Danio rerio: one gene and its partner. The protein of the gene in region 2 interacts with the protein of the main gene of each other region in a pairwise test. Links are inferred from orthologs where the notes say so. Each region holds a gene or a part of one and is shown on either strand. Other genes may lie near its edges.

Region 1 (15,998 bases), on a different chromosome or scaffold from region 2:
TAATAATAACAACAATGTAATTGATTCAAACAGAATTATTCTGACATAATAGAAAATCATAGGGTCTAACTACATATCTGTTAGTTTACCTTGCATTATAGCCTACTTCATTGCAGTTCATTAACCAGCATGATTACTGCAATTTTCACATTAACATGCAATAAGGAAGTGTAACTAACAACAGTTTTACAAGCAAGCGCAAATGAATCCTAACTCACCTCTTCTCTTCTCCCACCACCAGCGAGTCCATACTGTCGCACCCCTGCGCCACCTCTCTGAGGGGGTCTCTTGTCAAAATTCTTATTTTTTTGTGGCTGTGAGCGGCGTGGGCCTGGAAAGCTCTCAGCCTTGGCAAAAGTGGGCTCCCGCTTACGGCTGTAGCGCTTAGAGCCCCCATTATTTTTACCATCTAAAAAAAAAAAAAAACAGGAGGGGGGGGAATAAATATAATATTCCAACTTGAAAAGGTCAGCGTCTGCAACAACTTTGGGATTTTTGTTTGTTTGTTTTATTGCTTGTAGCATTGACAACTGGATGTTGCCATTCTACTGCAAACTTAAATGTTGACGACTTAAAATAAAAGGCCAGTGCATTTTCATTCTTCGGACCACATTCACACAGGCCCCAGCTAATCAATCCAGTCACATGTTGTGCTCAAGTGCTTCAGAAAGTGCCACATGATAAGAGCTGGAGGTTGTAAACACACAGCTTATCATTGGGCAGCAGAGACGGCCGTCCCGTACGCTTCACAAGCAAACATCAAAACATTATCAAAACTAAAACACTGACAATACTGTAAAGCCATTATTAGCTACAGTGATTTGATTCTGATATGCTGGAGGGAGTGATGTAATGTGACAGTTACAGTACACATGTAATGTAATGATGTAATGTGACAGTTATTTTTTAAAAGCATCTATATTTTTACTTGAGTTTTATTGTTCTGGCAACTTTCACCCTTACTATGTTTTCAATAAATTCTACTTTTACTCCGGTACATTTCTCTAAAGAACATGCATTACTTACTACAAAATGAAACCAACGGAACCAAGATGAAAGTCAGTTTGAGAAACTGGTGGTCTGCCGCATTCCCCAAATTGACATTTCCATTTACTATTATTATTCCTAATACTATTATTATTGATTTACCTGAACATTTAGCCTTTAAAAAGAAACAAAATCTATGAAACGGAGTTAAAACTGATCCCAATCATGCTGCTCAAACAGTGTACAGAGCAAATTTTGTTATATATTGGCTGTTGACATTTATTTATAGCATTTACTTTTACTTGACAACATAAGCACATTATTGAATAATAAACAAATAACACTTTTCATACTTAAGTACAATAAATGTCAGCTACTTTAAAACTTTACTCAAGCAAAATTCTACACAAAGTTTTTCTATTTTAACTTTTACCAAAGTCATTTTCTAGTAAGGTATCTGTACTTTCTCAAGTATGGCTTTCAAGCACTTTATACACCACTGGCTGGAGGATAGCATCCGAAAACTAGAGGGCAGTAGCTTTTGGCACAGATTTGCTTTTGGTCACATGGTGGACTACTGACAAGAATAGACCCTGGCCATGATCCCCATTCATCTGATCTGCTGCTAAGAGGAGCAGCAGACAAAATAACCCTGAATATTAATTTCCCCACGGGAATCGGTCAGTTTTTAAGAAAACATTAGGTTAGTTGAGGAGAAATCCATTTATCTATTTGAGAGCGTGACACACAGACACCACCCATGTAGTGTTATCTGAATATCAGTTTATTGCAAGTGGACATGAATATAAATTATACAAACATGTCTGATCAAGTTGGTAAAATATGTAATTTATTTAACTGGCATAATAAGTACTGTTGAATAGTATTTTATAAACAGAATCTCAAAATATATTCTCATTGAGGGTTAAGAAGGGCATAAAATTATGTTTAATAATAACATTAACTTAAAATCAAATAAATGGAGTCTCGTTGATGTTAACTCTAACAGGATCTATGCACCTTCTGGATGCTCTTTGTATTAATTATTTACTGAGTGAACAATTTACATTGATTAAACCTTTTACAGCTTTCAGCCATATTATGCAAATTATTAATTTATGTCAGTAAATTACAAGCACCTGGAATTTTACTATTTTTGTTATTTTTATTATTAATTATGAATTTATTTTATACTTATTTGTTTAAATACACTTTCCCAAATTATTTACAAAAAAATAAACAAAAACATCTTAAAGGCCGTTTATAATATTTGAAGAAAATTGCGAGCTAATTTCTACCTTATACTGAATATAGTTACATTTGTGACAATATATAATACATTTAGTAATTACTTTCGACAGATCAACCAAAGTTAAATTTATTTAAAAAACAACAGACATCAGCTCCTTTTTTTAAGAAATACTATTTTGGTACCGTCCCAACACCCAGTAAAACTAGTATTAGTTACTGAATGAAGTATAACGTCTATCTAATAAGCACATTGTTGTGTTTTCTATTAATAACGACAATATACTCAACACGAGTTGTGTAAAAAAATACCTCAGTTCACTGACAAACTTTACATAGATACATGTAAATAAGATACAAAATTAAGTTAGCCCTCACACTGTCGTTATTATTTATTTATTTGTTTAAATAATTTACCTCGCTTTAACTTTAAACAGATCTATTAAAAGTAAATAGACAACTTACATAAGAACCGTCTTTCTTAACATGCTTTACAATTATTTATTCTCTCATTTTAGGTATATGTTTTCAAGCATAGATCGATTAATATAACATTAGTGCTTATTAAGGACACTACATTAACGTTAGCTTCCTTTCTTCTATGTAATTTATGCACATTTATTAAACAAAGCTGCGGGACGATCGCTAGCCGCGGCTACGTCATCTCGACAGACAAACAAAAACATGTCGTTGCAAAACCGCAAACAAGCAATAAAACCCGTTTTGATCATGACAGTCGTGTGTTTATCTGTACAAGGCCCTGATTCTGTACCTGTTTTGGCTTTAGAGTCTGTCGGGTTGAGGCCTGTAGAGCTGGAACGGGGCGGGATCTTCGTGCTGCTGCTGTTGTTGTTGGCGTTTGGATTTTTCTCCATGTTGAGGCCGAACTCCGGGGTGAGAGCCTCCGAGCTCTCTAGCATTAAACGGGGTAAACGAGTTGTTGCGGCTGCGGGTCAGGCAACGAAGGCCCTTATTCATTTCTGACAAACACGGAGACCCCATTACGGCGACATCTTGACCACAAACAAACCAAGAGAAAAACAGAGACACAATCCAAATGTCTCAGTTAAAAAAGCCTGTGTGCTAACACAAAAAACAAGTGCCCAAAAAGCGGGGCCTCGCCCCTTGAAAAGCGCAGTTTCTCCTCGGCGTGGGAAGTGTTACGCCCCACAAGGCGTTAGCCGTTTTCCAAAAGAGGAAAACGGTTAAATAAATGGGTTTTAACCCAAATCTTACTCCAGCTAAGGAAATACAGACATATGGCGACGGGTCGCCAATCGGGAACCGTAAACACCCGGATGAGGGTTATAAGCCTCGGAGAGGTCAGAAAGTGCGCACGCGCAGGTTCGCCGATTCTGATTGGCGCATTTGACTACACGACATGGTTCTCGCATGCTTTGGTTGTTACCTAATACATTTCTCATGTAAAATTATTGGAAATTCATAAAAGATTGAAAACCTGATATATATATATATATATATATATATATATATATATATATATATATATATATATATATATATATATATAGTCTGTTTAATAGACTTTAAAGAGAAAGTTTACCAAAAAAAAAAAAAAAAAATGAAAATGTACTATTTATTTGCTATGTTAAACACAAAGGAAAGAAAATCATAAATGTTTAAAAGCAAGTCATAAATGTTTAAAACAGGTAAACACTGAGAAAATGACCTAGAATAGCTGATTTGATGTCAAAGCAATGAGTATTGATTGAGTTATTCATATTTACTTTATTTGAAACAAATGCTTACAAATCTATAGTGAACAGCAAGAAGCACCAGAAGTTGTTTCAGCTTTCTGAGGTGAAAAAAAAATCACTGCACATGGCATTCATACAACTAAACAGTCCTGTAAACATAAACCACATTCATAATTGATGTATAAAATAAAAAAGCATCAAATCAATTATTATTACAGTTCGGGAACCACATAACAATTCACTATTCAACTGCATTATGTATAAACAACATCACCATGTCATCCAAACCACTGCATGGTTGCATCTTGCCTTAATGAAGTACACATCCCGTATGTGCTTTTTTATATGGGGAATTTTAGGTGTCTTCTTCATCACCATCATCATCACTTCCATCAGTTTCCTCTCCTTTGATCAGATTCAGAGAACAGCTCAGGATGGCTTTCCTGACATCTTGTTTTTCAGCTGTGTTGTGGAGAAAAAGAGTGATGGTATGATGAGTGAATCTTTGAGTGGTTCTCAAACAAATAATTTTAACGTTTTAAATAAATTGTGAATTATAAAAAGAACGCTGCACTTAAAATAAATAAATATATATAAATAAATAAATGAAATAAATAAATACTGCATTTTAATGTATTTTTGGAATGTCATCAGCAACCACTCTTAAAAAACTAAATAATAAATACATACAGTAAACTGATTTAGTGCTTAAAATTATAAAAATCCTTAATTAGAGGCTATTCACTGTATATTTCTTGCAATATTAAAATGATGTTAATTGTTTTATGTTATGTTGTAGTATGTTATGTTATGTTATGTTATGCTATTATGTGTATAATTTTTATGTTTAGACTTATTTGTTGTGTTAAGATAGTAACATAATATACAATTTTTCAGGATCTCAACTTATGTTCCTTGTGATCTTAACCTAAGTTGAAACAGGTTGTGATGCATTTGTTTGTCAAGTTGTCATAACAAACAATGTCATCTTTGCATTTAAAATGACATAACTGAGAAAATTAAACTTAGTGACAGTTGTCATAAGCATGTTTAAAGTCTCATTTACATTCTTGACATGAGCCTTTTCATGATTATAAAGGCTTAATGACAGTCTTATGACCACCCATTCAAGTAAAGTGTTCCCATATAGGGTAATAAATAACACTGAATCAGTAAAGAACGGCACTTTTAATTAATTCTATTTTTTCGAGATACAAGCATTATTAATATTAACTGACATCGAGACATACTCGTAAGTCTTATTTGTCATGTAGGATAGGCGCTGACCATTAAAGATCTAGCAATTTGATGACATTAGCAACCATCTAACTTCATAATGTTCTTGTAGATTTACTTTTAATGTATATAATGGAGCTGCACAATAATGAAAAACATCTAACACAGCAATATTTTGTTATTCTGCAATCTATATTGCGATGTGAATACAATTTCACTAGGTGACAATAAAATCTCTATTTGTAAAGTATTAATCATTTTAGATTGATTTGGATGATTCAATAGTGGCAGTGCATCTGCAAAAGAATAGATATACTGTAACTGAAATAAACAGTGTTTTATATATATATATATATATATATATATATATATATATATATATATATATATATATATATATATATATATATATATATATAACTAATAGTCTAATAGTGTTCGGGCACAGTAATGGGCTTTATGCACAGCTAGTGTTTTTCAGCCAATGATCAACTTCCGGTGAGAGCCTTGTGTGACTATTTTCAATTTCATAAGGTTCCTTTTACAGCATTAAAATTTTAATGTAATCAAAATACATTTAGTTAAAAAGACTTAAGCATTTGGTGGTTAAATCGTAAACAGAGGCAAAAGACTGTTTAAAGGGAGGCACCGTTGTTAGCCACAGGCCAGCGCAGAAATTCCATTGTAAATGCTGGGGTAAAATTAATTTCCATATTTTAAAAATATGGATGGAAAAATATAATTTAATGCAGTGCTTCTTGTTCAGTCTGAGATCCACTTTATATTGTATCTTAGCCAGGCAGTGAAGATTGCTGTTTTTAAAGAAATCAGATATTAAACGCAGTAATTTTCTATGGGATGGCAATTAACGGAAGCCCTGGGGCTGGCTGGCTGAAAATAAAAGTTGGTATGCATATACCCCATGGAACAATAAAAATAATTCAATAAAATGAATCATTATTAAAGTTACAAATGGTAATTTTTTTTATTCCTGAATGCTTTTAAAACCATTATACATTCACAGTCCACAAAAACACATGCAAATGCTTAATTATAATATTAACTCAACACTGCAGATCCTGCGATGTGACTGCAAATGATCACATTGCAATATGGATAGTAAAATGATATAATGTGCAGCCCTAGTAAATAATCTAGAAGGAAACAACAAGCTACGTACAGAAAACATTTAGTGCTGCTCAAATATAAATGTTAATGCTTAGATCGTGAGAAAACAAGCAAGTAAAACTACTGCTAATAATTTATGGACTCTTTAGCGTTCATACATTATATAAATGTAACAACAGAACTTACCATCTGTCTTGCAATCTAGGAGCATTCGTTGGAGCTGTTGTCTGTTGTACTTAATAAGAAACTTCTGACTCGTTCTAATGGTTCCTGTGGAAAAGATCAGAGAGGAACTGATGTAAAATTGTGTGCTTATTGTTGTCAACCATGTAAAGCTCTGACAGAAAAATGTTCACTATGCAATAATATACTGCAGCCTGCACGTGCACAGGGGTAAACATTTCTTCTGAACATCTTCTGTGCATGACATTTAATCAACATGAAGTCATCAAGGTTTCACATATCCTTTTTCGGGTAGAGGGTGAGTAAACTGTGACTTTCTTTTTAGGTTAATCCCGGTTAAATGAGTAATCAAAAGAGTAAGCATCAAATGAGGAACTGGCAAGAAAACATGTTACAATTGCGACTAAAAAAAGGAGCAATGATATCCAGTAATCTTGAGTTTATACGCAATCTCAAAGTTCAAAATGTATTCCTTTTAATTCTCATATTTCTGAGGATGCACTGTACTCACTGTAAGAATACTGTACAACAAATGAAAAAGTTGCCCTTTTTATGTTTATAATTTTATGTTTAAAATAGCATCGCTTGTGTTAAGAGATTAAATTAATGAACACTTTCACAGGATCTTAACTTCAGTTACTTTTGATTTTGATAGAAGATGTTTTCTCATTATCATGACAAAATGTTTTTTTTAATTATCTCAACACATAGTTCTATACAGTGGAAGTCAGAATTACTAGCCCCCCTGTTTATTGTTCCCCCAATTTTTGTTTAATTGAGAGAAGAATTTTTCAACACATTTCTAAGCTTAATAATTAATTTCTAATTACTGATTTATTTTATCTTTGCCATGATTACAGTACATAATATTTTTCAAGGCACTTCTATACAACAGTGACATTTAAATGCTTAACTAGGTTAATTAGGTTAACTAGGCAGGTTAGGGTAATTAGGCTAACTATTGTATAACGATGGTTTGTTCTATCTAGACTATCTAAACAAAATATAGCTTAAAGGGGCTAATAATTTTGACTTCAAAATGTTTCTTCAAAAAATGAAAACTGCTTTTGTTCTAACTGAAATAAAACAAATAAGACTTTCTCCAGAAGAAAAAAATATTATCAGACATACTGTGAAAATTGCTCTGCTAAACATCAGTTGGGAAATATTTAAAAAAAGAAAAATTAATAATAATTCTGACCTTAATTCAGTTTCATTAAAGTTGTAACATAACTATTAATGTTTAGATTATAAGAAAAACAAGAAAGCAAAAATACTACTACTGCTATTTTATTTATTAGATTATTTATTTAAAAAAAAACTAATAAAATAAAATAAACACTGTACAACAGTCCGCATTATCAGGTTCTCAGAATAATGATCTACTAGTGCAAATAAGTTGTCTAAATGAATAAGGTTTCTATTTTAATTGAAACTTATGTGTAAACATTCTGTCTTGCTTTGATTCAGAACTGAGTTTGTATCTTAATCATTGCAAGAAATGAAATTAGAATAGTGTGTTGTCAGCTTGAAACAAGAACAGTCAGACCCAAAGTCTGACACCAAAAAAAAAAAAGTCACTGCAACTTTTATTTCACATTTAAAGGGTTTTCACTGCATACTCTTGAGTTTGTATCTCATAATATTCTTCCCTTCTATTGACTCACAATTGTGAATAAATATAACAAAATTCTGGCCAAAAATATTTAAACTGTCAGGTATAAAACTTTTTCAATTTATCAAATGCAAACTTTGGATTAACATTGCATAAATAATCTACAATCTGGATAAACGAAAAACAGTGCCATACAAACTGACTTTTTTCCTTACAAATTAAAATATACACCTTTTAAGATTTTCATTTTATATCTGTTTAATGTAGAACTGCAGGTACGAAAAGAAAAGGAGGTAAGATTTGTCAAAAACAAAGTATCACAATTTTAAAACAAGTGTGACTAGCAATAACCTTTATTAAATTTTAATTCTAGCTTCCGATTAATACTTGCCTCCGACATGAATGCAGTTGAAGAAGCACCGCACTTTCTGTCCTCTGTTCTCCAGGAAAGTAATGAAGGGAAGAGAGGACCACACAAGCCGATAATGCGCTTTCCTGCAGCGGATCAGCACCACCCCAGTGTGGGCATTCAGATATTTCACTGCACAACATTAAGGAAGATATTAAATAAACTGAGCTAAACAAATTAAGTATCAACATCACAAAAAGTGATTACTATTTCTAATAGGTTATGTTAAAAATCTTAACAACATCTCATTGTTTACCTAATACGCCTAACGTTATATTAAAAATCGCCGCTCCGTAGTCGCCGTGAGCTCGGTTCACAGCCCCTCTGAGTGCCTGATACACGACTTTATCCTCGAAAAGATGAAGACTGCTGGGTTCAGAGACACACAGCTCGCACAGCAAATACCTGGTAAAACAGTAACATGTTTAAACTGTTAAGCATCTAAAGGTTACGTTTAAATTTAGCTATTTTATGCATTTAAAACCGGGACCCGGAAAAATAAGTTATTTTTCTTCATTACCTTGACTTGAATCTGACCATATTCTCAACATGTGGTTAAATATCTTTGTAAACACTTTACTTCCGGGTTTCATTTGACCAATGGTGCTAGAGGAGGCGGGGTTATTATATGGTAACGTAAATGTTCTTTTAGACACACAAAAAATGCAAAATGCAAAAAAAATTAGATCATAAATGGGATTAAAATATTATTTAGAAAATATTACGTTTCACAAAGTTGCATTATTATTATTTCCAAATGTGTATGTTATAAATAGCATTTTGGGTCTAATTTGGATATATTTGTTTCAAACAATTTAATAGAAAGTATCATTGAACTAAAATGTTTATGATTTTCAGGAACTTCCAGTGTTTTAAACACACATAAAATTTTTCTGAAAAAAAAAATCTATCCTAAATGAGAGTAAAATATGATTTGAAATATAGTATTAAGCTTCTTTTAAGTTACATTATTATTATTTTCAGCATGTATGAAATAAATATGTTTGGACTAATTTGTAATTGTTTGTTTAAAACAATAAATAAAAATATTAAATGAAAATGTTTACGATTTTCAGGAATTTTATTGTTTTAGACAAAAAATACAAAAGGAAAAACAAAATTAATATCATAAATGAACGAAAATATTATTTGGAAATTTTTAAATTTCTTTCAAGTTACCTTATTAATATTTTCAACATATGTATGTAATAACTATACTTACTCCTTTGGGTCTAATTTATATTTATTTGTTTTAAATAATTTAATAAAAAAATAGTATTAAATTAAATGTTTACGATTTTAGGGATTTTGCAGTGTTTTAAACAAAAAATGCAAAATGAAAAAAAATATCATAAATGGGTTTAAAATATTTTTGGGAAAATATTAAGCTTCTTTTAAGGTACATTATTATTATTATTTGCAGAATGTATGTAAATATACCTAATCTTTAGGGTGTAATTTGTAGGCTATTTATTTGTTTTAAACGACTTAATAAAAAGAGTATTAAAATAAAATGTTTGCGATTTTTAGGAATTTTCAGACATTTGTTTTACAAAAACAAAAATGTAAAATAAATAATATCATAAATTGGACAAAAATAATATTCGTAAAATATATAAATAAAAAATAGTTCATTCATTTAATTTCTTTTCGGCTTAGTCCCTTTATTAAATAGCGGTCGCCACAGCGAAATAAACCCCCAACTTATCCAGCATATGTTTTACGCACCGGATGCCCTTCCAGCTGCAACCCATCACTGGGAAACACTCAGACACTCTCATTCACACGCACACTAAAGACAATTTATCTTACCCAATTCAGCGCATGTCTTTGGACTGTGGGGAAGTCCGGAGGAAACCCACGCGAACACGGGGAGAACGTGACAGAAATACTGACTCAGCACAGGGTCGAACCCATTTAATATCAAAAATGCGGCAAAAAATATTATTTGAAAATTTTTAAGCTTAAGCTGCATTATTATTATTATTGTTATTATTATTTGTGTTATAGACACAAACAATGATAAATGAAAAAAGTATATATCACAAATGGTACTGAAGTATTATTTGGAAAATATTTAGTTTCTTTTAAGTTACATTATTATTGTTGTTATTTTCAGCATATGTATGTAATAAATATACTTACTTCTTTGTGTCTAATGGATATTTATTTGTTTTAAACGATTCAATGAAAAACTTTAATAAATTAAAATGGTTATGATATTATTTGAGAAAATTATCAAATTAATATATAATTATCATATATAAAAAAGAATATATTATATATGTCATATTTATTTTTATCTAATTTTGGATAATTTATTTTAATCAAATTAATTCAATCTTTTGTATACTTTTAATGCTAATAATTTACTTTTAATTATAATAATTTAATAAAATAATAATTTTCGTAAGCTTATTTAATTTTAATTTGTTTGTTTACCATAATAAAATGTTCAGTAACTTTATTTATTTCTATATAAATAAAAAATAAATATTTCAATGTTTTATTTCTTATTATAATGATGGCCTTTAAAAACAAAAGAAAAAAGGAAAAGAAAAGAAAAGGAATTTACATTTAAGATTTTACTCATTCTGTGGACGATTTTATAACCATTAACCGAGAGAGGGCGCTAGATAACAGCTAAAAACCTAACCTAAAGTTCTTTGCTTTAAGGTCTCCTGAAAACATGAAGCGCATATCCACAAATTCAAGCATTAACAACATCGACAGGCTACATTGTTATCACTGACAATACCATAGAAGACTACATCAAATAGAATCATCTGCCTTTAATTTGTGTCTACAGCATTACCTCCAAATGTACTTCTCATAATAACTATTTTTTATTATAGAAATATAATTACAGTGGTCGTCGGTCACTTATAAATGTCCCTGGAAAGAAAAGCTACACATCAGCACAACACATAAATGTCTCAGTGGTACAGAAGTGGTGCCAGTGTTCCTCCGCCTTGCACATAGTGTGAGAGAGGATGATGGTGATGGTGATGGTGGGCGTTCATCATCTCACATCTAAGCGGAGTTGAAGCTGAAGCTGCTGCGCGTCACAACCCACACACACACACATACACTCATAACTCTGCGTGACCTGTAATCATGGAGCCCTAAACCTGTGTTCTGGAGGATCTAGACTCATAATACCAGACTGAGCTTACAGGTGCCTTCAGAGACGCCAAATTATACCATCAGGTGGAAGCTGTGCAGGACTTCGATTAGTTGATGAAAAAAATGTGGATCTACGCAAGTGTTTTAACTTATCTGCTTCTTTTGACCAGAGATGCAAGATCTTTGAGTAAGGTAAAGAGATTTTCATGTTTACATCGTATTTCGTACAATTGCATTTACGCACAGCGTGTGTGTTTGTATTTGTGTGTTGCCAAATACGGTTTTGCAATTACCTGTTAGTTAAATTATTTCATCAGTTGCGTTTTTTTCTTTTTTTTTCCGCCCATTTATCTGTGATTATTGCAATTTGTCTTATGGCATTCGTTCGTTGCACATGATGTTTTTGGCAGATTTGAAGACAAATCCTGCCAATTTAAGCACAGACAACATTTTCTTGGTTTTGTAATAGTTCTGGATGGATGAGAGAGTTATTGGTGTTTGTAGGATTCGTGAGATTTTGAAACGAAGTTCATCAGGGGATTTTGAAATGACGTGTTCGGTAATCAGTGTTAATGAAACATGAAATTCCACGAGGTCAAATGTATAATGTTAATCTGTCTTAATAAAGGATGAGGGAAACGTGAAATCTAAATCATTTTTGCACTGTAAAAATTGGATCTAAAATAATCTAATAAAATAAAAATAAATAAATAAATAAATAAGTAAATAAATAAATAAATAAAGTGTGTTGTTTACAGTTAAATTCAGAATTATTAAACCCCCTTTGAATTTTAAAAAAAAATATTTTCTAAATGATGTTTAAGAGAGCAAGGACATTTTCACAGTATATCTGATCATATTTTTTCTTCTGGAGAAAGTCTTATTTGTTTTATTTTGGCTAGAATAAAAGCAGTTTTAATAATAAAAAAAACATTTTAAAGTGCAAATTATTAGCCCCTTTAAACCTTTTCTTTTTTTCCATTTGTTTACAGAACAAGCCATCTTCATACAATAACTTGCCTATGATTGCTCTAACCTGCCCAGTTAACTTAATTAACCAGTTAAGCCTTTAAATGTCACTTTAAGCTGTATAGAAGTATCATAAAAATATCTAGTAAAACATTATTTACTGTCATCATGGCAAAGATAAAATAAATCAGTTATTAGAAATAAGTTATTAAAACTATTATGATTAGAAATGTTTTGAAAAAAATATCTCAGTTAAACAGAAATTGGGGAAAAATAAACAGGGGTGCTAATAATTCAGGGGGGCTAATAATTCTGACTTCAATTGTATATTATATGCAATTATTAAAACTGAAATGCTGCCTTTTTCCACACTTTAGAATGTGTACTTATTATTACAATAACAGGCAATTACAGTGAAAATACAGACGATTAAGTAACACAAACAATGCAAATATTACTTTTTGCACAAAAAGAGAATGACTCATTTTGTCATTTGTTTCAGTATTACAATGTTATGGCAATGAGAAAGAAAAAGATAATAAAATAATAAAATTAAAATAAATAAATAAAAAAGGAGTGAGGGGGGCACATGAAATAACACAAATGAATGCAGAAATAAATATGGCTTAAATTGCCTTAACTTAATGAGTTTTACAGTACTCAGTTGGTTTGAGTTCTCTTCATTTATCAGGTTTTACTGTGCTCAAATTGCTTCATTTACTCAAATAGATTAAGTTCACAGTAGTCATTAAGATTAGTTTTTGAACTTAAATGGTTTGTTGCAATTGGTTTCCTCAAACAGTTTGAGTTACCTTAACTTTTTGGGTTTTACAGTGTGGGTTAATACAAAAACCTGAATTAAGGAATTGATTTTCTTTCATGTAAAACCCCAAAATAATATGTTTATAGCTTAAAAAAAAATCACCTCAAACCTTTTGGACAATTATAAGTATTCTCATCAGACAATAAAGATTTAACAAAGGGACATTCCTAAAATATGTGAGCAACAGACTTAGAAGAAGTCTGATAGAAAGAAAATTTGTATAATATATAACAATATATATATTGTTTTGCATCAATTATTAAATTGATCATTTGATTCTTCATTTTATTTGTCAAATAATACCCAATCAATATTATATTTAGAGCAAGAATCATTTAGTGATATATTAAAAGACCCAAAATATTAAAGAAATATGTTTTTAAATCTTTATACATTTCATTCTCACAAATGTTGTTTGAATCATTACTTGTATTCAATACAATGAAAGAAATGGTGTCTACAAATAAATAAATAAAGTGTGTTGCTTATGTTTGTAATATAGGCAACTAAAAGTACTGCCTTTTTCACACTTTAGAATGTGTACTTATTACTGCAATAACATGCAATTACAATGAAAATACATAACATTAAGTTTAATACGAACAATGCAAATATTACTATTAATAATCATCACAAGCTTTTTTTCAACATTGATAATAAGATGAATTGTTTCTCGAGACTGCAAAAATGGCAACTTTTCTTTATAGGGTTAATATATATATTTTCAAATATAGTCAATTCATAAAAAAATATTAGTTAAGTAATTAGTGTTTTACTGTATTGTTTGATAAAACAAATGCTGCCTTGCTGATCGTAAATCATAAATAATATTACCCAAAATACCCAAATTGATTATATTATATTATTTTATATTATATTATATTATATTATATTATATTATATTATATTATATTATATTATATTATATTATATTATATTATATTATATTATATTATATTATATTCAGAAGACATTATTTCCGCTCGAGGAAATGTCTACAGTGATGTTTACATCCTCGCAACAACACACCATTAACGCTAGACACTATGCATGTAAATTATCAATTTTACCAAAGATAAATACTTACAGGTTGTGGCTCACAATCCACAGCTTGAAGTATTTTTTAGCCAAAACCAGCACTGAACTAGGAGATGTCCTTTGTCAAGTGCTAGCTATATATTTTTTATAATTGGCTGGAACATAGCTGAAATTAAATTGTAAGCACTTCTCTTTTTGTGTCGTGTCCTTTGGAAGTGACAAAATATGAAAACAGAAGAAGCTATGTGGAAATAGCAGTGTTTTGGACACCATTTTAGCTTTCTCTGCTAACATTACAGCACCACTGGCCACACCCTGTTGCTGCCTACGTTGTATCCGCGTGGTGAATGTGTGTAACCGGAAGTGTATTTGATCTCACTAACCCGGATGTATTTTTTTGTAGTCCCCAAACTTTGTTCGCTGTAGGCTTTGCTAAGCTAACGCTGTGAAAGCCAATGTATCTTTTTGCGTTGAACTTTGTGCATATTACATTCAGAGATGTGTTTATGTTCACACAGCTACATTACACATCAACTAAAGTTTAATATATGCTATCGTAGTGGACCACCCCAATAAACATATTTTAAATTATTCTGTTTGCTAAGATGCACTGCATAACAGTCCATTTCCAGTCCTTAGATTTGATTGTCCAATCAGAGAGCTCATATTCAGTTCACCAGACCAGGAATGTTTACTTGCATCACTCATGTCTGTTTCCAGATCTGTGTATTTAAGTAGTGCAACAGGACTGTAAAGCCCAAATGGGGAAAAGGGAAGTTTTCACAGCCTGTTTCACAGACAGATCACACAGAATAAGTCAAACAACACTTAACAAATGAGCTTTCTCACACAATCTCCCCTCCCAGTGTGGTAGGCAGCATATTTTGGCACATATGCCCTGGCCTAAATTACTCCTGGCACTGCCAGAGCATTCCAATCTTTAATCCTTGAGATGGCATAGTAATATAATTTAATTGCCATTTTAGACCTCTGACCTTACTCTAAATCCACTCCAGTGTTTTTGGACTAACACTGTGAGAAATTACCACAGTATTAAGATGCCTGTTTTAATAGTTTACATGTACTATAAAACACATATTGAATCATTAAAGATAGTTCACCCAAAAATGAAAATCCACTTATAAACCTTTATGAGTTTTTTTCTTTAGTTGGACACAAAAGTAGATATTTTGAAGTAAAGCTGAAAATGTGCAACCATTGACTTCCATAGTAGGTCAAACAAATACTATGGAAGTAAGTGGTTACAGTTTTTCAGCTTTCTTCAAAATGTCTTCTTTTTTGTTCAACAGAAGAAAATCATGAAGGTTTGAAACAAATAAAGGATGAGTAGATTAATTTTTGTTTTGGTGAACTATCCCTTCAAAATCATACACAATTACATTAAAGCCAAATAAAGCCCATCACCAACACTCAGTAGTTAGTACTGTCACCTCACAGCAAGAAGGTCACTGGTTCAAGTCCCTGTTAAATCATTTGGCATTTCTGTGTGGAGTTTGC
Region 2 (15,679 bases):
AGTTCTCCCACTGGTTGCTCTCGATGATGATCTTGCCAGCCAAGCTTTTTTCCAGAGCATGTATCTTGAGCTCCATGAGAGCCAGTCGTTGCTCTAGTCTGCCAACAGTCTCAAGAAGACCTTCTTCCAGAACTCTCAGTCGGCTTTCCAACACACACTCCTGAAGAGAATGTGCATGCATTAAAGTGGTTCAGAACTTTGCAGTAGATTTGTGATATAGCCATTTGTATTGGCAAGTGACAGTCCAGTTGAATTACGACATAATACACAAAATTCATTTATTCATTCATTACTCATGAATGAGTAATTCAAATGTTAGGCTTAAAAAGTGTTTTTCTTCGACAACTTTGCACAAAAATAGAAAAGTGAAAGTATTTTTCTCCATTTAATAAGAAATACTGAAAAAAAATAAGCACACCCCACCTCTTCTCAACATTGATAATCAAAAGAAATGTTTTTTCACATCAAATCATTAAGAATTATGATTTGTATAATGTGGTGTTAAAGAATGAAGAAATAATAGCTGCTGGAAATTCACCTTTCCCAACACAGGAGTGAATTAAACTTTAAAATATATTAAATAAGAAAACATTTATATTTTAAAAATTGCTATGATATTTTCAAGTGATGTAGTTTTTTATATATATTTTAACTAAATTCAGCATTGCTGAGAAATCAAACATTTTAAAAAAAAAAAATCTTTACCTTACTGCAAATTAAATGTATATTCTGTTTTAATCACAAAAGTTACACGATCAAAAACAGTTAAAAAAATGTAACATTATTAACACATTTTTGTCTTTTTAATTAATGAATTATATGCAATTAATTCCTTAATTATTATTAAAAAAAAGCTCTAAGTAACCAAGTTTCCAAGCACTTTACACTCCTGCGTAAAAAAGTATAAATCCGACTAAATCTAATGTCTGGTGAACTTATTCATGCACATCCCAGTGTGTACATATGTTGCTGAATATATATTCCACTCACAGTGGATTCAGCAGGTTGTGATGAGTCCTCTAACCGTTCACTGTCTAACTCCTTTTCTGATTCCTCTTCCTGCTGTGGATGTTCAGCTGAGGAGTGTCTGATTTGAGCTGCTGCCGAGCTGCCGCCAAGATGCCTTTCTACCAGTGGCTGCTTCAGAGGCATCTAAAGCAGACATTGACAATTATTATTATTATTATTATTATTATTATTATTATTATTATTAGTAGTAGTAGTAGTAGTAGTAGTAGTAGTAGTAGTAGTAGTAGTAGAAAAAACATGAAAACTTACCATCAGGGCTGTTAATTCCTGTGAGTTACTGTCATCAGAGGGAATTTCATTTTTAACACAGCTCTTCAATACAGGCCTTTTCTTTGGCTTACTCAGATGCTGTAAGACAATATTCAATTACAATATGAAAAACATAAAAATATAAATAACAAAATCCTGGCCAACGTTTAATTTGCTAACAATTATTTTCAAAAATATAAAAATAAGATAAGTAAAAACAATATACAGTTGAAGTCAAAATTAATATTATTGATTTTTTTTCTTTTTTAAATATTTCCTAAATTTTGTTTAACAGAGCAAGAGAATATTCACATTATGTCTGATAATATTTTTTTCATCTGGAGAAAGTCGTGTTTTATTTCAGCAAGAATGAAAGCAGTTTTAATAAAAAAAAAAAATAAAAAAAATTAAGGTCAAAATTATTAGCCCCTTTAGGCTATATATCTTTTTAGATTTGCTACAAAACAAACCATTATACAACAATTATACAGTTATTAGATATTAGTTATTAGAAAGGAGTTATTAAAACTATTATGTTTAGAAATGTGTTGAAAAAAAATCTTCTCTTTGTCAAACAGAAATTGGGGAAAAAACAGGGGGGCTAATAATTCTGACCTTAACTGTATGTGTAAATTAAATTACTAGTTTATATAAATATATTTAATATGCTAACAATTGTTTGCATATCACAATATTATTGAACCAATTAATGTGTTATATTGAATTACTATAATAGTTTGCATAAATATATTGAACATATTATAAATAAACTAATTAATTGTAAATGATTTATAAAAACATTACTATACAAAGTGCGAAAATAATTTATCATTTTGAGATCAGCTAAAGTCTACATACTGTATAATATTTATTAACGCTGTGAGAATATATGTATGTGTGTGTATATACTATAAACTTAAAAAAAAAAAAAATAAAAAAAAAAACATAAATAAATGTTTCTAGTACCTGTGAATAACTGAAATACAACCATATCTCTATACGAGAAAAAAAAACTGTATGAGGGTAAATCAGCGATACCTTGCTATTTTTAGTGAGTTCTTTGTGTTTGCTGAGAACAAGGCCAATGACATCACAGAGAATGCTCACTTTCCTCTCTGCAAACCCAAACTGAAGGAACTGCTGTTTGGTCAACAGTGGTTTATAGCTGAAAACATCCCGCAAGACCTACATTTGAAGGGATTTTCTCATCAAAACACAGATACAACAAAACACAGTGATTTAAAATAAATATTACAACTTGAGAGGTTTAACGCATTAAAGGAACTGGAAGGAAATGATCCTCTAAGTGGATTAAAATCCCAAACAAAAAAAAAAAAAAAAAAAAAGAAGAAGAAGAAAAAAAAAAAAAGATTTGTAGACTTTTTGGAATTCCAGAGGAGCCACTAAGACTAATCACAGGAATACGCAAATGTAAACAGTGAGATGTACTGTAGCACGAAGGAAAAAACGACGACTGGAAAAAAAATGATTGAATTGCTAAACACTACTTTCCTGTTACAGCGTCTCTAATTTTTAGCAAATGCCACCAAGGCCCTGAAGGTAATCTAAAGGGACCACTAATTCCCCCCTGAATATTTTACGTGAGCCTCAGATGATACTGGGATGAAGGCCAGAACTTTAAGAGCTGCACAAAAGGTCAGCGAACAGGAGGAAGTGCTGAAAGACAGAGCAGCGCTTCAGTCAGTCCCATGGCTGAACGTACAGAATCAGTTTTGAGTTAATCTGAGATCAGACGACTTGGACCAGCATGAAAACAAGCCTTCTTCTTTTATTCACTCACTGCAGGAGAGCGATGCGAGTGGAGAATAGTAATTACTCAGGATTTGCTGGTGAAGAGCTGCCAGTTGAACATCTGAATGCTTTGCTTCAGAGCTACAGATGCTCCAAATCACAGACCTTCACAGAGAGGACCTGCGGTTCTGATTTTAGGGGTAAAGGGGTAGTTCACCCCAAAATAACATTTACTCACCATCTATTTTACAATAAAAGTAATTTTTTTTAATTATGTTGGAAACGGGTAAATATTGACATCCATAGTAGAAAAAAAATGCAATAGAAGTCAATGGCTGCATGTTTCTAACATACTTTGAAATATCTTCTTTATGTTCAACAAAAGAAAGAAACTGAAACAATTTTGGAATAAGTGAAAACCGAGTCATTAAACCCTGCCAGATTCGAGACAATGCCAATAAATAAGGCTTATATTAATCAACCTCTTCAAAGAGGGAGTGAAAAACAGTATTAATGGCTTGTTCGGAGTTAAAAAGCCTTTAGAGTTTGACCCTAAAAATGAACTGTGTCCTCATAACTGGGAAAAGGCAACTGTAAGCACTTTGATCCATTTAAAATAACCAACTCATTAAAACCACTAGCTCTTAAAAGAAACTGCAAACAGTTTAAAAAAGTCAAAATTAAAGTGGGCTGTGATGTCAAGCATGTTAATAAAGATCTGTTGTTGATTTTAAATAAAAATATACTATCCAGAAACTAGCCTAAATGCTAAAACATGAATGGAATGAATGTATTTTAAAGGAATGATTCACAAATTACACTTGGGTCATTATTAATTCATAAAGGTTATATGTTGTTTATAAAAACTTTTTTTTACTATACAGTAGATGCCAATGGTCACCAAAAGGTTGGATTAAATTTAAAAAAGTTAATTGTATGACTATACTTTGCTGTAATATTTCCAGGGTGTTTTTTTTTTTTTTGTTTGTTTGTTTGTTTTTTGGTTGATTCACACTTTTAAATTGTTTTATGAGACCTTGATCTCTGCTCTGAAATGTGATGTTTAAAATGTAAATCTACTGTTCAACAAAATAAATGTTTTTGACACTTTTAGAATAAAATAATAAATTTAGAATAAAATGATAAATTGTCTGGGTTGATTTTGGTCACATTAAATCCAATGTGAAAACCTGGTAATGAGCTGCCAGTTTTTTTGTTTTTGTTTTTTTCTGTTATGAACTTATTTCTCAGACTGCACCAACATTCCTCAAAATGCCTTCTTTCACATTCTCCAGGGAAAAAAAAATAGAAATGTATACAGTAGGGTTACATGATTCATGATAAATTAAGAACCCTGATTCTTTTTATAGAAATAGTTAAAATATAATAGTTTAAAAGTTACCCGAATAGGCAGCTAAACTAAAAATGCTTTAGTGGACTTAAATTTTATCATTAATGAAATCAATAAATATTTTAATGGTATGGTTTGGCATATAATAAATGAATCAGCATTTTGAATGAATCTCTTGAAGTACTGCTTCATTGCATGTTAAACATAAACATACAGTGGAAGTCATAATTATTAGGCCCCCTTTGAATTTTTTTTTTCTCTTTTAAATATTCATTAAATGATGTTAAACAGAGCAAGGAAATTTTCAAAGTATGTCTGATAATATTTTTTCTTCTGGAGAAAGTCTTATTTGTTTTATTTCAGCTAAAATAAAAGCAGTTTTTAATAAAAATAAAAATTAAAAAAAACATTTTAAGATTAAAATTATTACCCCCTTTATAAGCTACGTTTTTTTTCTGATAGACTACAGAACAAACCATCATTATAAAATAACTTGCCTAATTACCCTAACCTGCCTAGTTAACCTAATTACCTAGTTAAGCCTTTAAATGTCACTTGCTGTACAGAAGCTGTATAGAAGTGTCTTGAAAAACATCTAGTAAAATATTATTTACTGTCAGCATGGCAAAGATAAAATAAATCACTTATTAGAAATTAGTCCTTAAAACTATGTTTAGAAATGTGTTGAAAATATCTTCTCACCGTTAAACAGAAATTGGGAGAAAAATAAATAGGGGCGCTAATAATTCAGGGGTACTGATAATTCTGACTTCAACTGTATATATTGAAGACAGCTAGAACCTTGCAACCATTGATTCCCACAGTATTTTTCCTACTATGGAAGTAAAAAGTTACATGTTTTCCGCATTCTTCAAAATATCTTCTTTAGTGTTCAACAATAGAAAGTTTTGGAACCACTTAAGTAAATTGTGATTTTTAGTCAATTAGAAATGTAGTAAATTTCCAAAAACTATCCCTTTAAAAAGCTTTACAAACTACGTGCAGAGATAAATAAATAAATAAAACAATAAATAAATACTAAGCTACATCAAAATATATAATATTTAATAAGCTATATAAAAATATGATGAATGATAATCACCTTGTACACATTCTCAATAAATCGCAAATCATTCATTCCGGTTAGTTCCACGCCAAAATCGACCAGGTACTCTGTGAGTGAGGGGGAAAAGGACGTGAAGGCAAAGCTTACAATAGGAAGACACGCTGATGGATCTCCAACAGCCAATCTGGAAGAGGAAACCACAATATTAAATTATAAAGGACTTGTAATGACAAACAATTCATAAAACGTCATCATAAAATCAACATCAAATCGAGGTTTTAAATCAAATATAATGTTTAAAAGAGTGGCAGCACTTGAAAAATAAAAGCTGTCTGCAAGCCATTTTGAGTGTCGTGCTGGAGGCAAATTAAGTCATCTTTCCAGCATACACAAGCCAAAATAGATCTGTCTTTCTGAGGAGCATTCTGTGTTTGATGCATCTCACATCAAAACCTCTGAGCTGAGCATCTGATGTGCAGCTTGGGGTCTTGGTGGAGGAACGGAGCTGGTTTTTGTAAAGCCTGTTTACAAAATAGCGGAGCGCTGGGGAGGCTCCGGACAAGTCTTCAACTTTCCAAACTTCAAAACAAAATACGGGACATGAAACACTGACAGAGTCTTATTTTGGGATGTTTATTTGAGTCAAGATGTTTCAAAGTCAAGGCCAAAAAAATAAAAAATGAATGGTGGAATTAGGGAACGTCAATGTCTAATGGATTACATCTTGCATATATTATATCATCTCTGCTGACCGCATATGAAATAATCATTCAGATGATGGATTTGTAAAGCCCTGGGAAGTGGAGATTTGTATCTACAAATCTAGGATTTGTCTCTGTGGCCACATTTAACAAGATTATGTTCTTTTATATTGACATTTGAGGTTACAGAAAAAATAGAACTGATTAAAAACATTGACTGATGAAACGTATACCTTTAATTTAATGTGGATAAAAGCATCTGCTAGATAGTCAACATACAGAAAAAGGACACTAATTGTTCCATGTATGTATAGTTAATGGATATTATTCAAAGCAAATATACATTTTTATGTGCTAACATGCATGTAAAACAAGTATAAACATTAATAAATTGCTCACTCAGCCATAGTGTACTTTGCAAATTTCCACTTCCAGTCTTTTGGCATGGGTGTGATCAGGGTCATGATTATGAAAATGATTTAGGAAAATCTTTTGCTCAGAATGTATGCTTTATTGTTCCATGTTAAATTATTTGGAAACTACATTTTACTATTATTTAATACAGTAATAATTCTTAGAATGGTTCAGTAGAAGCATTTGTGAATGTTTAGATAAATGAGAAAATGTTTTTATAATAATACACAACAGCAACAGCAATAATAATAACAACAGCAACAACTCATCCAACTTCATTTTCCCCCATACATTACAACATGTCCTGTTTAATTACTTTTTTATTCAGAGAACTCATAAATGAGCGAGGCAGTGGTGCAGTAGGTAGTGCTGTCGCCTCACAGCAAGAAGGTCTCTGGGTCGCTGGTTCAAACCTCGGCTCAGATGGCGTTTCTGTGTGGAGTTTGCATGTTCTTCCTGCCTTCGCGTGGGTTATCTCCGGGTGCTTCGGTTTCCCCCACAGTCCAAAGACATGCGGTACAGGTGAATTGGGTAGGCTAAATTGTCCGTAGTGTATGAGTGTGTTTGTGAATGTGTGTGTGGATGTTTCCCAGAGATGGGCTGCGGCTGGAAGGGCATCCGCTGCATGAAAACTTGCTGGATAAGTTGGCGGTTCATTCCACTGTGGCGACCCCAGATTAATAAAGGGACTAAGCCGACAAGAAAATGAATGAATGAATGAATGAATGAGAACTCATAAATATTGTGCACTTATACCAGTATTTAAATATGATATCCACTAAATTGTCTAATTAAACTCTAGTTTATACACCATAAAATAGTGCAAAGTACACTTAGAACAAGAATCATTTGATGACATATTAAAACCCAATATTTAAGGATCACAGAACAGCCACAAAATGCCTTATAAAATGATATTTATATATCAGCAAAAAATAAAAAATAAATTAAAAAATCAACCATTTAAAAGACAGTTCATTTTATATGATAACATATTTGTTTACATACAGTTAAAGTCAGAACAATTAGCCCCCTTCAAATTTTTTTCTTCTTTTTTAATTATTTTCCAAATGATGTTTAACAGAGCAAGGAAATTTTCACAGTATGTCTGATAATATTTTTTCTTCTGGAGAAAGTCTTATTTGTTTTATGTCGACTAGAATAAAAGCAGTTTTAAATTTTTTAAACACCATTTTAGGGACAAAATTATTAGCCCCTTTAGGCTATATTGTTTCTAGATAATTTACAGAACAAACCATTGCTATAAAATAACTTGCCTAATTACCCTAACCTGCCTAGTTAACCTAAATAACCAAGTTAAGCCTTTAAATGTCACTTTAAGCTGTATAGAAGTGTCTTGAAAAATATCCAGTAAAATATTATTTACTGTCATCATGGCAAAGATAAAATAAATCAGTTATTAGAGATGAGTTATTAAAACTATTATGTTTAGAAATGTGTTGAAAAAAATCTGCTCTCCGTTAAACATAAATTGGGGAAAAAATAAACAAGCGGTCTAAAAATTCAGGGGGGCTGATAATTCTGACTTCAACTGTATTTTAATATGTACAGGTCAGAATAAGTTTTTATTTTATTTTATATTATACAATTAAAATATAATTAATAAACTAATATCGAATAAACACTAGGGCTGCACAATATATCATTTCAGCATCGATATCGCAATGTGATCATTCACAATAGTCACATCAATCCACAGTGTCAAGTTCAGCTTCAGTTTATTCATCCCTCAGGAAATTTGATTGGAATAATAGCTTACCAGGAACCATCCTGTTGAGTGATTGTAAAGTTTAACCTTAAACGAGTGCTTTTTTGATTTGTTTTTAAAGATTTTAATTAATTTGTGTACAAAAAATTAAAACAATAAAAATGTATTGCATTTAACTTTTATACAATGAAGAATTTACTGTTTTATTTGCTTTCATTTGAATATTCAACGTATTTTTGAATACAGTTAGACCCACCAAAAATGTATGCAGATTATCTGGCCTTCAAAAGTCTTCCAATCAATATAAATGTATGAGTTCTTTCCAAATTGAGCTATTCAAGTCATCTGGTGAAATAATTATAATCATATCGCATAATCGCAATAAATATCACAGAAAAACAAAATATTGTAATCTCAGATTTTTTAAATATTGTGCAGCCTTAATTAATACCAACTATCAATATTAATGAATCAATATACTATTAATAAAAAAATATTAAGAAAATAAATATAAGTTATGTTGAATGACAATGGAGCATTATATAATAAACATTAAAGTAGACACTTACATTTAATATGCTTTAGTGTGTATTTAAAATCATATCAATTTAGTTGATGTGTTTCCAAAATCTCATTTTTACTCATGTCTTTTGGTCTGTGTATTATAATATAACTGAATTACTTACAGTCTCAGCCACTATCAACATTTATTTTCTGTACAAATTTAATTAAATGGTTACTACAACTGACACTCTGCATAACATTTTCATTTGAGTTTTTCTGAACAAATAAACTGAAGACAGAAGTTTTTTTTTCTTAGTATGCAAGAAAGAACACTTACAAAGATACCATAAGAACAAATAGATAAAAAAAAGTTACATAAATAAAGTTTACATGATTTACACCAAGAAAGGGTTTTACATGCAAATTAATTATTAGAGTTCTATAAAGAATTTCTGAAAATAATAAGGGTGTTTCTTCAAAAAATTACTTCATTTATGGATGTAACATTTAGCCTGAAAAAGCAAGAAATTAATAATAAATTTACAATGAGAAGGATTTAAGTTCAGAGAGTTACCAAAGAGTAGTTTTTGTGGAAATACAAAACACTTTACCGCAAGTACATTCCCAAAATAAATGATTTAGTGTTTCGAAGACAGACAGTTAATCTAGATTCAACAACAAAAACCTGAGTAAATAACGAGTTATTTTTGAACTACACTATTCTTTTAACATTGATACTCCATACCTTTGATAATCCACATCTCTGGGATACTTCAGAGACCGAAGAGACGCTTCCAGTTTTCTGAGACATCCCTTCAGGTCACCAGTGGCCATCTCTGTCATTTCATCAAGAGTTACATTGTTATTAACAAGTTTAGATGCATACAGCGATGTCAATTCATCATTCATAAGCAACGTGTGTGTTACCCTTTGTCTACAAAGGTAAATCATTAAAAACGGTTGTTATATTAACGTTTGGAAAACCAAAACTCTTACCGAAGGCTAAATATTAGTAACGGAGTTATTGCTAATCCCTTCCTTTTGTTTTTGCCGCTAAAGGATTCAAGATTGTTGTTATTGGTTTCTATGCAGTGGATACAAAAATCACCCACAGTTTCGCTTCTGCACATTCATGTCTGGTTGTTAGGTTGTTAGGTTCTGTCCAAAATACAAAAAGATACATAATTTGTTAGTGCTAGTCTCATGAACTGGTTGACGAACTTAATTAAGCGAAGTATTCTATTTATTTATTTATTTATTTATTTATTTATTTATTTATTTATTTATTTATTTATTTATTTATTTATTTATTTATCAATCACACATTTGTTTATTATTTAATATATATATATATATATATATATATATATATATATATATATATATATATATATATATATATATAGAAATAAATAAATAAACAAAATACATTTAATATTATTATTATTAATAATAATAATAATAATAATAAAATTTACCAAAAAAATAACATTTAAACAACCAAATAAATACATGTTAAATGACTTACATTATTAAATTATTTTAATATTACTTTGTACATTTATTACACCTACAAGTCAGGTGAACTGGATAAGCTAAATTGTCCTTAGTGTATGTGTGTGAATGACAGTGTATGGTGTTTCCCAGTGATGGGTTGCAGCTGGAAGGGCATCCGCTGTGTAAAACAAATGCTGGATAAGGTGGCGATTTTTAAGTGGCGACCCCTGATTAAAAAAGGAACTGAGCCAAAAAAATTAACATATGAATGAATGAATATTTATTACAAAGACTAAGGACTATGTTTCACATCAAATAACCACACGAACTTGACCAAGACGACAAAAAGAAAAAAAGTTTTTAACGAAAGTGCAACTGAGTGTACTCGTGCTCAATTTACTTTACGCGATTTGCGTCACTTCCACCAATAACAAGAAACGTCAGTCTGGCCAGAGTGTTCGAGGAGGCGGAGAGAGAGGCAGGAGGAGCGACTGTACTGATGAATGATAGAGTCACAGGACTGTCTCACCCTCGACCTGCAGCGTTGGAGCTGTCACGATGGCTGTACTGGGCTCCGGTTAAAGGACTGAGATAATTTCACCCGCGAGACTGTGGCAGACCAGCGAGTCATTTCGTCGCGGCGGCGGTAGAAGTATTTCATACACACAGAGGTGGGTGGCGCTGCTTTGAGCGATTGACGCTGCGAAAATAAAAACAGAAGATTTCGATGCGTCACTTTGCGCGACAGCCAATCGGAGGGCGAGTTAATGTGTCAAATCGGCATTCTAGCCAATAGTGTTAGGGCGAGGCGGGATTTGTGCTTCAGCCAAACATGATGGAGGACTTATTTCTTAAAAATGTACCTCGATTTGTGTGTCAGTCGTCGAACTTAAAAGTTTGATAAAGTACATCTCTAAAAAATACACATTTATTTAGTGTAAAACAAAGCGGAGCTCGTGCTAACTTGTTTTGTAGTTATGTAATATGTAAGACGAGTTCTTCTTTGTTAGGACAGAAATCATAAAGGCTACTGCAATGCAAACTGGGTCAGAGTTATAATACGTTTTGCGTTATCAGGCTAATATAATTGTCAGATACTGTAAACAGTTGTCAGCAGTGACAGTCTTGTAATGCCGTTCTTTCCAGCTTGTCCCAATTTACTGTAAACAGTTTGACAAGAGTTACATGATAGTGACATATTTAGAGTTACTTTCTCTTTTAATAGAAATACTAATTAGATGATGGAATCATTAGTATCTAATAATAATAATAATAATAATATAGATGTTTGTAATGTAACTATGATAATCTTAAGGCATATGCATATTTAATAATATTAGTATATCATAATAATGAACAATGATGGTATTGTGTTCATGGCACTTCAAAATAAAGCCAATACTTGTTTATTATTTCACCTTTTAGAAGTCCTTTTAAGAATATTCTGGTTGTTGTATTAACAAGAGTGGCATGATAATAACATAAATAGAGTTGCCAGTTCTGTTTACGTTCTTTTTTAATAGAAACACTAATTAGATGAAGAAATTCCTGATATTTAATAATAATAATATGAATAACATAGATGTTCATAGTATAACTATAGTACTAGTAAGGCATGTGCATATTTAATAAAATTAGTATATCATAATAATGAACATTAATGATACTGTTATTGTGGCACTTCAAAATAAAGTCAATACTTGTTTATTTTTTCACCTTTCAGAAGTCCTTTTCATAACATTCAGATTATGGTATTAGAAATGGTGTTTATAACAGCATCAAATGCTTAAAGTCTTCATGGACTACTTTTTTTTTTTCAAGATGCTAATCTGGCGTATGACATGCCCAAAATATTGATTGAAATGTTCTGATTCTTTATTTGTTTACGCTTTACAGTACATCCCAATTAACATTAATTATAAAAGCTAAACTGAGAGTGAAAACATTAATCATAGGTGCTGTTAATGTTTTCTTGATTAACTCATTAAAATCAAACAAGTTTTAATTAAAATAATAACTAATAATTCAGTTTGTTTCATACTTTTACATACATACATGATTGGTTAGCAAACTTTGCTCGTCCTCATCGCACAACTTTGCACTAATTCTTCTTAAGTTGTACATACCCTCTGGACATATACATTTGTAATTATGTTCATATCTGCCCGCATACCTCTGATTATTATCAACCTGTACATATTTTCATCTATTGTAAATCTCTGTTAATAGTTAATATAACCTGTATATAATGTTTATAGTGCATCCATCTGTAAATATCACCATAGTTTTTTTATTTTTATTTTATTATTATTATTTTTTTATAATTGCACTTTATAGCTTATACCTATATATAGCAGCTGCTATTGCACTCCTGGTTAGACTTAAACTGCATTTCATGCCTTGTACTTGTACATGTATAATGACAATAAAGTTAAATCTAATCTAATCTAGCTGTTTCCCACTGTTGAAGATCTCCTAAAATCACTTACGAGAGTTTATTGTAAAGAGTACATGTAAACTTTTGCAACATTTGAAGTTTTTGAGTTTATGTTAAACATTTATATACATTAAAGAATAAACAAAAAGTAGTTGTTTTTTTTTTGTTATTACATCTGTTAAAAAAAAAAAAAAAACTTTTTTATTTGTTCTTGATGAGAGTATTTCTTAAACAATGTTAGTATCCTGATAACGCCATACACCATGCTGAAAGATTCAGCACTTATCAAAACCGGAAAATATGATACCATCATAGGCCTAATAAACGTAAGTAGTTTTTAATGATTCATGAAATGCTTCTGCCCTTAGGCAAAGCTGAGGGAAATTGCTTGTCAGAGTTCATTGACCTCAGATTTCCAGTCCGTATTTAAAGCAAAGCAGGTCTAAAAATTCCCAAGCTCCTCCTACAGAATGCCAAGAAGCAGGTGCCGTGACATTGTGCAACTCTATGTCAGATTCATATGAGAAAAGCTGTCATGTTAGAAACTCAGAGAGAGCATCCAAAAGGCCATTAAAGACTAGAATAACAAGACGTCTAATACAGTAGACCGAGATGTGGAGGCCCTTGGAGGGAGTCACATAAAAAGGCTTAATGCATATCTCCGAGAGAGGATTAGTGCTACTGTGGTGGAGATAAAGCTGCCATCGGGGGTTTTATTTCCCAGCTGACTACTGCAAACCAACACTAAAAACAGTTTCCCTAGGGTTGTTGGAAGAGGTAAGGATTCGGGGACCCTAAAAGAAATGATCTAAATCAAAACTGAAGTGCTGAGAGCTTGAGACCTCTGGATTATTCTGCTTTAGTTTATAGGAACATAAGGCAGAGAGATAAAAGGCTTTATATACAATCCCTTCTTTAATAATAAATACAATAAGAGATTATATGATATACAAAAGCTCTTAGCCAAATGGAAAATAAAAGCAGGATGGGCTGCGTGTGTCAGATGTCTCTGAGATTACATCAGCTTCTTCTGCTTAATGTATATGAAATCAAAACCAGAAACTGAGCTGAGACTATAGGTCTTGGTGATCGAAATGTGATGCACGTGCTACATATTTCAGTTTGGTTAATGACAGAGTTGTTTTAATAGAGTTTTATAGATCGGAAGGATGCAGGAATTCAACGTTTTATTTATGCTACAAAAATAAAATCAAAAGTTTGGAATTATTTTGAGCTTTAAATGTTGTTTGAAAAAAAAATTAATATGAATATGAATATGTATGTATGTATGTGTGTGTGTGTGTATGTGTATATATGTGCATATATATATATATATATATATATGTGCATATATATATATATATATATATATATATATATATATATATATATATATATATATATATATATAAATGACAATTGTAAGAAATACTTACCAAAAAATAAAAAATAAAATTCAAGTTATACCGAACTGTTCGTTACAAAAAGTATATTTTTTCAACAAAATTAGGCTTTATGAAGTGGTCACAAATTGTTTTATTGTTTCCTGTTGCTCTTTTGTGCTTTTCCATCTATTTTATTTTTTATTTTTTTGTCTCATCAGGTATTCAAAATGTAACTTTATGAGTTGTTCTTTTTAAGAGAACTGGTTGTAGCTACTGAATCAATTGACAGGAACAGCAATGAACTAATTCAGATGTACGTTTGAACTGAAACACCAAAAAAACATGCAATAGGCCACCATAAAAGGTCTGAATTCTACCTAGTTTTGCAACCTTAAAGGGCTCCACAGACTATTCAAATAAAATGGTTTATTGTTGCACAAATGTGTTAGCATATTAGTGACTTTTCCACATGCAACATTATCTATTGTAAATAGACCATTAATGACGATACTACCATTTACAAACTACAGTGGCCAGTATTTTAGGGCCATATTATCACGATAATACCATAGTACTGGTAAACCGTGCATCCCGACTAGATTAACCTAGAGACTACAAGATTCATGTTACTAATACTGAATATCTTTGTGCCAAATTTCATATAACATTCCTAAAAGTAATTCTGGGGCAGCGAGAGTCAAAAAGAAGAAGTTGAAGAAGAAGGATTCAAGAAGAGGTGCTGGGGTGCTCCACAATTTTGAGCTGTGGTGCTTTAACAAAAATGCAAATTACTGCTTTTTATATATGAGTCAGACACTATTCATATTAGTTTTTATCTAAAGCTGCAGTCTCACTAAAGTTTGAGCATGCGTAATTCTGTCAAATGGGGCTGCGAAAAAGAAACAGGATAAAGATGAAGCACTGACACTAATAAAATTAGCGATTGTTCCATATTTTTTTATTTTCTATTGGTCTCATGCTTTCACATCCTTTGAAACACAGTGACATTCGAAACTTCAATTCGAGCTTGCGCTTCCGGTCTGTCGCATTCACACATTTGAATGGAAGTCAATGGAGCAAAAAGTGGAGTGACCTGTTGGTTGTGTAATATTTTAATTTATCTGATGCTAAGTAAATTGTATTATTTATTTTTAATTGTAAGCCTAGACAAGATAGTTTTACAGTTAAAGTCAACATTATTAGCCCTTCTGTGAAAAAATATATATATATTTTTTTATTATTTTTCAATTTTTCCAAAATGATGTTTAAGGAATTTTTCACAGTATTTCCATAATATTTATCTTCTGGAGACATTCTTATTTGTTTTATTTGGGCTAGAATAAAAGCAGTGATAAACATTTTTTTTTAGGGTTAATATTATTAGGCCCCTTTAGCAGTATTTATTTATTTATTTTTATTATTGTCTACTGAACAAACCATTGTTATACAATGGTACAGTACTAATTTTCTTAATTAATCTAGTTAAGCCTTGAATTGCACTTTATACAAAATAGTACGTACTGTCATCATGGCAGAGATAAAATTATTTATAAAATTATTTATTG

What was found.
Region 1: the proteins of cep44 (region 2) and pop5 interact in binary tests that used the Homo sapiens proteins (3 or more experiments, as listed by UniProt). The two-hybrid records come from large-scale screens. The link is inferred for Danio rerio from reciprocal best matches to the Homo sapiens genes CEP44 and POP5.

The regions. Positions count from the first base shown.
Region 1 is NC_133183.1:49,714,379-49,730,376, forward strand, and holds pop5 (ribonuclease P/MRP protein subunit POP5), read right to left. Parts: upstream 9,098-15,998; 5' UTR 9,065-9,097; coding exon 9,045-9,064; intron 8,930-9,044; coding exon 8,781-8,929; intron 8,657-8,780; coding exon 8,507-8,656; intron 6,588-8,506; coding exon 6,504-6,587; intron 4,416-6,503; coding exon 4,309-4,415; 3' UTR 3,965-4,308; downstream 1-3,964. Other genes in the region: E3 ubiquitin-protein ligase RNF10, read right to left, coding at 219-409, 3,008-3,155; olfml2a (olfactomedin-like protein 2A precursor), read left to right, coding at 11,765-11,842. UniProt on the Homo sapiens protein: Component of ribonuclease P, a protein complex that generates mature tRNA molecules by cleaving their 5'-ends. Also a component of the MRP ribonuclease complex, which cleaves pre-rRNA sequences.
Region 2 is NC_133176.1:41,473,805-41,489,483, reverse strand, and holds the start of cep44 (centrosomal protein of 44 kDa), read right to left. Parts: upstream 9,895-15,679; 5' UTR 9,792-9,894; intron 9,632-9,791; coding exon of another isoform or gene 9,630-9,631; coding exon 9,541-9,629; intron 5,632-9,540; coding exon 5,484-5,631; intron 2,464-5,483; coding exon 2,317-2,463; intron 1,378-2,316; coding exon 1,279-1,377; intron 1,153-1,278; coding exon 991-1,152; intron 161-990; coding exon 1-160. UniProt on the Homo sapiens protein: Centriole-enriched microtubule-binding protein involved in centriole biogenesis. In collaboration with CEP295 and POC1B, is required for the centriole-to-centrosome conversion by ensuring the formation of bona fide centriole wall.